Oryza sativa Japonica Group: one gene and its partner. The main gene of each other region encodes a partner of the protein of the gene in region 2 in a complex. Links are inferred from orthologs where the notes say so. Each region holds a gene or a part of one and is shown on either strand. Other genes may lie near its edges.

The links.
Region 1: mediator of RNA polymerase II transcription subunit 15a (region 2) and mediator of RNA polymerase II transcription subunit 4 share a complex: the UniProt entries of both Arabidopsis thaliana proteins name them as parts of the mediator complex. The link is inferred for Oryza sativa Japonica Group from reciprocal best matches to the Arabidopsis thaliana genes NRB4 and AT5G02850.

What each region holds. Positions count from the first base shown.
Region 1 is NC_089043.1:25,716,249-25,719,694, reverse strand, and holds mediator of RNA polymerase II transcription subunit 4, read left to right. Parts: upstream 1-1,271; 5' UTR 1,272-1,346; coding exon 1,347-2,591; 3' UTR 2,592-2,912; downstream 2,913-3,446. Other genes in the region: histone-binding protein MSI1 homolog, read right to left, coding at 471-1,094. UniProt on the Arabidopsis thaliana protein: Component of the Mediator complex, a coactivator involved in the regulated transcription of nearly all RNA polymerase II-dependent genes.
Region 2 is NC_089042.1:28,450,764-28,455,095, forward strand, and holds the start of mediator of RNA polymerase II transcription subunit 15a, read right to left. Parts: upstream 2,917-4,332; 5' UTR 2,786-2,916; coding exon 2,628-2,785; intron 1,836-2,627; coding exon 1,724-1,835; intron 858-1,723; coding exon 749-857; intron 1-748. UniProt on the Arabidopsis thaliana protein: Component of the Mediator complex, a coactivator involved in the regulated transcription of nearly all RNA polymerase II-dependent genes.

The sequences.
Region 1 (3,446 bases), on a different chromosome or scaffold from region 2:
CTTCTAGAACGCTCACATAAAAAAAACTCAGTGATCTGTTTATGCATAATAGAATTGTTCCTCACACCAAGAGATGATTGTTTGTGCTTAAAATGCAGCTATGGAAATGGAACCATGTTCTCTTCTCGACTAGTTATTCAATTGCTGTGTCCTTTCTCCTACGCAGTGCAATTATCTACTCTGGAATTGTGCAGTTATTTCAGTTATAATGATTCTCTTCCAACATTTAGGAAAGACCAGAAACAGTTCAATTTCATTATTTCAATATTGTTTACTAAGAGATCTGGCAGATCAAAATTTGTTTACTGAAAAAAAAAAGGGGAAGAAACAATCGAAGCATCCTTACTAAATGAATTGGATTATGAATTACGAATCATTGCTCAACTGCATCGTATAATGTAACATTTAACGACTGTAAATGTTTACTGCAAAATGGAATGAGGGGAGGGGGGCATTTGACGGCGCATTACCTCGAACACATGATGTGCATCCAGAGACGAAGCTCCACTCCCAGCAGCGAGATCCCAAAGGCAAATCTTCTTATCATACGAGCCGCTCAGCAGCAACCCCTCCTTCATCGGACTCCACGCCAGCCCATACCCCTCCGCTTCATGCCCCCTGAGCACCACATCGGCGCCGCCCTTCTCGCCGCCGTCGCCAAGATGGTACACGTGCACCTCATCCACGCAGGTCTTGGTAGCCACCGTGTACGGCCTCTGCGGCATGCAGCGGGCGCGGTTGACCTCGCCCTTGTGCGGCACCGAGCGGGAGATGGACACGGACGGGGCCGGGACGGCACCGCCCGCCGCCGCGGCCGCCGCCGCCAGGCGGGGCGGGAGCGGGAGGGCGGCGTCGGCGAGTAGGAGGTGGTTGGGCGTCTCGTCGGAGGTGTGGGTGCCGAGGACGAGGCGGTGGGAGCGGGCGGAGCCCGGCGACCGGGAGTGGGAGGGGAGCCACTGGACGGTGAGCGACGGCCACTCGAGCGGCTGGGAGATGACGAGGTCGTAGAGCACCGGCGCGTTCTTCTTCCAGTTCTGGTGCTCCTCCATCTCCGCCGCCGACGACCTCGCCGCCGTGGAGGACCCGCCGTCCATGGCTCTTCTCTTGCGAATTGCGCGGGAAGTGGAGGCGGCGCTGTGGTGCTCTCCCGCCAAAAAGATTGGGGAGACGATGCGGCGGAGTCAGAAGAGATGGTGTTTTATGGCCGAGTTAATGGGCTTTTATGGGCCGTAAAGCCCATATAATACAATTTGGAGGCCCATTAGCCCATTAAGAGGAAATTTTGTCTAGTAGCTTCTGCCTCGCGTCCGTCTCCTGCATCCGCAGTCGCCGCCGCCGCCGCCGCGATGATGCAGTCGCACCACCCCTCGCCGGCGCGGCTGGGGCTGACGGCCTCGTCGCCGTCGCTCCCGCCCAACCCGGCTGCGGGGAATCCCACCTCCTCGCCGCCGCAGGGCAACCCTAGCGCGGCGGCGGCCGTGGGCGCTGCCGCTGCCGCTGCACCAACCCTAACTACATCGCCGTCGCTGCTGCCGCTCCTGCCGCCGCTCCCGCGGGCGCAGGCGCTCCTCCAGCTGATCTCCGCGCTCGCCTCCAACCTCTTCGAGCTCTCGCCGAGCCGCGCCGCGTGGATCTCGGCGTACCGGGGGTCACTCCCCACTTTCCTCCCCTCGCCGTCCTCCGCGCCGCCGCCGCCGCTCCCGGCCCCGATCTCCTCCACCAAGGAGGCGCTGTCGCTGCTCAACACGCTCCAGACCCAGCTCTTCGAGGCCGTCGCCGAGCTGCAGGAGACCCTCGACCTGCAGGACGCGCGCGCGCGCCTCGCCCGCGAGGCGCGCGCCAAGGACGCCTCGATCCTCGCCTTCGCCAAGAAGCTCCGCGAGGCGCACCACGTGCTCGACCGCCTCGTCGACGACTACGCCGACTACCGCCGCGACCCCAAGCGCCCGCGCGGCGCCGCGGCGGCGGACGACCCCGAGCCGGTGTCAGACGGCGACTTTGGCGCGTCGCTGCACTCCAAGCTCAACCTGGACGACGTCCTGACGTACGCCCACCGCATAAGCTACACGACCTTCGCGCCGCCTGAGCATGGTGCTGGGCTGCCTCTGCGTGGGGCGTTGCCGCCTGCTCCTCAGGAAAATGAGATGAGGATGTCGCAGCTGTATCAATTTGCGGATTTGGATGTTGGAGTGCCGAAATCCCAGGAAGCAAAGGAGAGGACTGCAGCAGAGGGAGATGCCACTCCGCTTTTTCAGCCTTCACCAACCCAGGAGGCAGCTGTGCTACCAATCACTGTGCCGCATCCGCATGGGTGGCGGAACGGGGCGCTGCCTCTCGAAATCCCGTTGCCGCCGCCTGGATGGAAACCCGGGGACCCGATCACTCTACCGCCGGATGGCATTCTGGCTGGTGTCAAGGGTGAGGAGCCACGGGCCAGTGTGCAACAGATGCCGGTTGTGGTGCCAGCAATGGTGCCGAAGGCACAAGAACCGATACAGGTTCGGCATGTTGATCTTGACATTAACAATAGTTCTAGCAGTGATGAGTACAGTAGCGACGTCGGGAGCTCTGAAGAAGATGATGAGGATTAGTTCCTTGGTAAGCTATTTTATGATTCATGTTTCCATGCCGTTGTAGGTCATGTACTAGTAAGAACAAATAATGCAAGCTCTCATACATGATTATTCAAGATCATGCAGCAATATACTGGTATTGAATAGAATTGGGTGGCGTATCATGTATGTGTTGATTAATTAAACCATCTCACTAGTCAATTTGCTTCGATATATGTAATCAAGCATGATGGTCTAATTTCCTCAGGATGTGCTGGTGTTGTATCGTCAGAAACATGGCTTCTTTTATGGATATTTAAACTTGAACATGGTGTGTTTAATGTTTGATGCCCTTCTTCACAGATTACAGGTTTCAGTCATAATTGCTTGCTAGGCTTGCTAGCTGGTTATGGGCTTTTCAATCAAGTAATGACTTCCATGTTCATGCACTCTGCTTAATTTTTCTCATTGTTTTACCTTATGTCTGTACCTCTTATTGCTGCAATATAGTTTGAAAACCTTTATACCATTGTACCAAAGAGTGGTAGCTGAAAACTCAAGAATGTTCTATAACTCAAGCTATATAAGTTATGAGAAGGGAGTGGTTTCAACTTGTAAGTTTGCACTTAAATGAACACACCATTTTTCCTATCTTATTGCACAGCATGGGGGATCTTCCTACTACAAACATGATACTAGTACTATAGGTCTTAGTTTTCATTCACGAGCTTATCTTGCAGATGATAAAGTAGTAATTGACTCAAATGGGTTAGAACTGCCAAAGCATCATCAGAAGTAACTCCTTTTATAATTTTATTGGTGCATATCGCATCTTTATGTACTTTTTTTTCCCAATTCAAGAGCTGCATGGTTATCAAAGCGGTCTCATCGTAA
Region 2 (4,332 bases):
ATTGAGCCTGGGCAAGCTTAACGATGGACAACAAGTACATACAAATCCATACAACTTGATAGCCCATTTTCTAAATACATAAACAAAGAGCTACCGAGTTGTCAGGGAGAGGAAATCCAGTGCGAGAGGTTATATCGATGAAGTGATTGTGTATTGCCAATGGGCTAGACTATGATACTAATCTTTGATTAAAAAGAGAGAGAATGAGTGCTAGAAAGCTATGTGTATCTTTGGTCTTTGGGCTGCTGGCAGCAGACGTGATGGTGTGAGCCTTGCTTTGCTTTTCTACTTTGGAAGCCATGGCTGATCTAGCCTCTACTAGAACAAGCAGATTGAAGGGGTCGTCTGTTTTGATGTTGGTGCCCAAAAGCTTTGAATATGACCATGCAAGGATTCGTGGCCAGCATCCAAATGGTGTGTTTGCTATCAAGATTAGCAATTACTTAATTAGGTTCGAGTAATCAACAAGTTTGGAGGTTTCGACTGACAGGCATCTCGCCTTAATTTACTTGCTTGAGCATTATCCGATACAAGCTAAAACGAGAGAGCACTGTTGTACCCAGTGTGGCAGAGCTTCCATTGGATGGTTTCCTCTCAGAAATGGGGCTTGTAAACACACATGCAATATAGTTACATCATGAAAAATATATACAAGGACTTTTACGGTGAACAAAATATGGTACCAGCGAATATCTTACTATTACTCCAGTATTTCAGAATCGGATATTGAATATACTTCATATGATACCTGAGCCAGGGGGATTTTGGTTTTGAATCACTTGGGCGTTTCCAGGATTCTGTTGAGTCTTTGTCTCCATAGAGAGCATTTTTAGAGAAATCTTCCGCAAGTAATCAGACTGGTGATACAAAAGAATACAATGGTAAGATTTGGCTTTGTAATAAATAACTTGCCACCCTAAGTCCTGGTGGTTAGCACAATTGAAACATATGCTTCGTTTTTTTATACAATCAATTAAATTATACAAATTCTTATCTATACAGCAAACTACTTTGGCATGAATAAGCCTGATGAAGTATGAACAGGAGAACACAATTGGAATTTGGAGATTATGAATCCCTATACCCAGCCAAAGAAGCTCCTACAAAAATGTTTACCAAAATGAAGTGGGATATATGATGACATACTCGCTAACACAAAAGGAAGGACTGGAGTAAACCATTGTTTGATGTTTCATCTGGGATAAAGGGAATATTTTACAGGTGATTTATACAAGCATGAACAGATGGAATGATGGGCTTACAGAACTCAAGGTACAACTCCTGTACTTTTAACATGGCCAATGAGAGAAACCAGTCTCATGGTAAAAATATTGTTTAGTTCTATAATTCATTAATACTAATTTACTATTGAGATATGTTATCAATGAAAATAATGTGGGGACATCAACACCTCTAGCATAGGACTGAATCAGTCTTAGTCCCTGTATCCAAGGCGCAAAGGAGATTTTCCCCCGATAATGGAAGGGGAAAAGCTTCAGCAGCCTTGGATAATCTGATTTAGGTGGAAGTGCGAAATATTACAATCGGTTCAAAAGAAAATGTGGATACTTCACGGCGAAACTCTAACAAACTTCAAAATCAACAGACATATTTGCAAACATTGGACGATCGATTTCTTCTACTAAGATCCCAAATGCCATGCTTGAGCCCCACAACTGAAAGATTGGATCAACCCGATGAGTTAGCAAGAGGCTAAGTGTACCTGGCTGGTGGCTGCAGTATAGATTTTCTCTTCAAATCGCACTGCTATCTTTTGAAGTTCATTCAACCCCTCAGGCACTGATACTGGTAGATGCTTCTTCAGAGTGTCCATTCTGTACGCAGATTGCAACAAGCAAGTAAATGACGAATATATCCCATGCAGAACGAGAGAGAGAGAGAGAGAGAGAGAGAGTGCTTTTGAGATGTTTTGTGCAAAAAAAAAAAGAGAAATGTCACCTAAGGCATAATGTGTCAGTCTACCATTCAAGATGTTGGACAAATGAGTAGGCATAGCCCAAGTTACGCGCTCAAATATAGTGGCTATGACCAAAAGTGGACAACAGCTACAAAGGACTCGCGGAGCGAGAGTGGCACATACATGATCTAACATAACGAAGTAAAATAAACGAGAGAGGTAGGCGGTTTCTCCAACAAACAGTTTGCCTTGCCATCATAGTTCCCTGACCCTCAAAGGGAAGATCCATTTGAACAGAAGGGGTGCATCTTCCAAGCAAACCTCTATACTGTAATAACTGTGTCTGATGAAATGTAAATTGAGTTCAATTGGATATGTAGACTAGGTGAACTAGACAAGAATGTCAAAGCTAATAAGAATCTGAAAATAGTTGGGGAGGGATTGGAGTTGGACCTAACTAACAAAGTAAATAATAATAAATAAATAACAGAAACACAGGGGCACGGAAGGGGAGATTATGATGAGATTACAACTAGCTACGTAGGAGTAGATCGGATCAGAGTTGCATCATATTGAATCGACCACAGGCACAAAAGGATGATGCGATGTATGGATCTTCTATTTTATTTTATATAGTTGATGAAGAGAAGAAAAATTGGGGGAAGGGAAGGGAAGGGAAGTGGGTGGGGGGAGAGGGGGAAAGCCCTACATCTTGTTGACGATCCTGTTGCGGGCCTCCGACTGGAGCTGGGAGCGCCAGTCGCCGCCGGCGAGGGCGGGGGCCGGGGCGTTGGGATCGATGCCCCCAGAGGCGGCGGGGTCGGCCCCCTGGGTGGGCCTCCAGTTGCCGCCGCCGCCGCCATCCATGGCTCCTCTTCTTCTTCTTCTTCTTCGATTGCAATTTGCGAGGGTTTGGTCTTCGTGGCGGCGGCGACCACAAGACGGAGCGAGCGAGCGAGCGAGCGAGGTAGGCTAGAATCGGAGTCTCGCCTCGCCTCGGAGGAGAAGAAACCTCGGGGTTGGACCGACCTAGTATTTATTTCGCATTTGCCCCCTTGTACTTACAGCATACTCCGATTGCGTTTCCTTTCCCCTTGCATACGGTAGCATGGCGTTAACCCTAACTTTTTTATACTAATAAAATATAATAATAAATTTATGAAATATTTCAACATTTGCAAATGCCAACTATATATAAAAACCCTTCTCTATTAGAACCCCTTCAGCATAATTATTTTGTAAATAAAGCTACACATAAATACATGTTACCGTTTTGGATAAAACCCTCTATGGGTAGTATATTGAAATAAATACCCTTTTAATAAAGAAACATAGCTATGGCTATTTTATACGAACCTTTGAAAAGGAATTTGCCTTCGGAAAATTAATTACAAAATAATATATATTAGTAAAGTATTTATTAAAAACCCTATTTGCAAAATATAATTCATAATAGGCTATTTTCAAAAGATATGACCTTCTCACACAACGTCTAATTTTCCCTCAGGTATAGCCTAGTTTGCATGTTAGGATTTATTGTTTATTTGTGTGTGTTTAGAATTTGTGCCATAGATTTTGATTAAACCCTATCTCTAGAAAGGACACCCTTTCCTATACCTTTCTTTTTCCATCCTTACCTTCTCTTACCTTCGCGGTCTAATTTGTTATGTGCTTCGATGCTAAATAAATCAATGACCCAAAACTTTTTTGTCCTATCGCGATATTGTTGCTCTCTCAAACTCTCGCCCAGCGATTATTTAAAATCACTCCATCAATTCAAACCCAACACTCTCCCTTGACTATCTACAATCGATCGGCGTATTTATTTATCATGCGTCAATTCAATTATCTCCGATTCTATTCCTACCGCGACGATTGGATTTGTATGCTACGCGTTGTCCCTAAAATCCTTTCTTCGCTACCGTCGTTCGTTTGTACGAACACTCTCAAAATAATCCTACAACAACCGATAAATTCATTTATCGTGCGTTAACCCTAAACTCCTATTTGGCAATACGGTGCATCCATCCAAACAAAGTCTCATGTTGCAATCCATTTATTCTGCCCTCGTGCATTCTCGGAATATCTATACATACCACAAATCCCATTTCCAAAGCACTGTCCAAGTCACACCGTCCCACCACAAATACAACGTCCAGTCATACAGTCCCAATTATAAATGTACAGTCCTATTACACGAGTTGACCTATAGCCAAATGACCAATTATACAATATACACCATACCGTCCCATCCACATTTACAGTCCAAGTATATTTCTAGTCCAAACACAGAGCCAAAATCAATATCCATATTATACGGTCCATTTATACAGAGCCGAGCCAAATTACAAATACTCTGCCAATTTACAAGTCCACAAGTAATCGTGCACATGCAATGCACGTTGTGATCAATA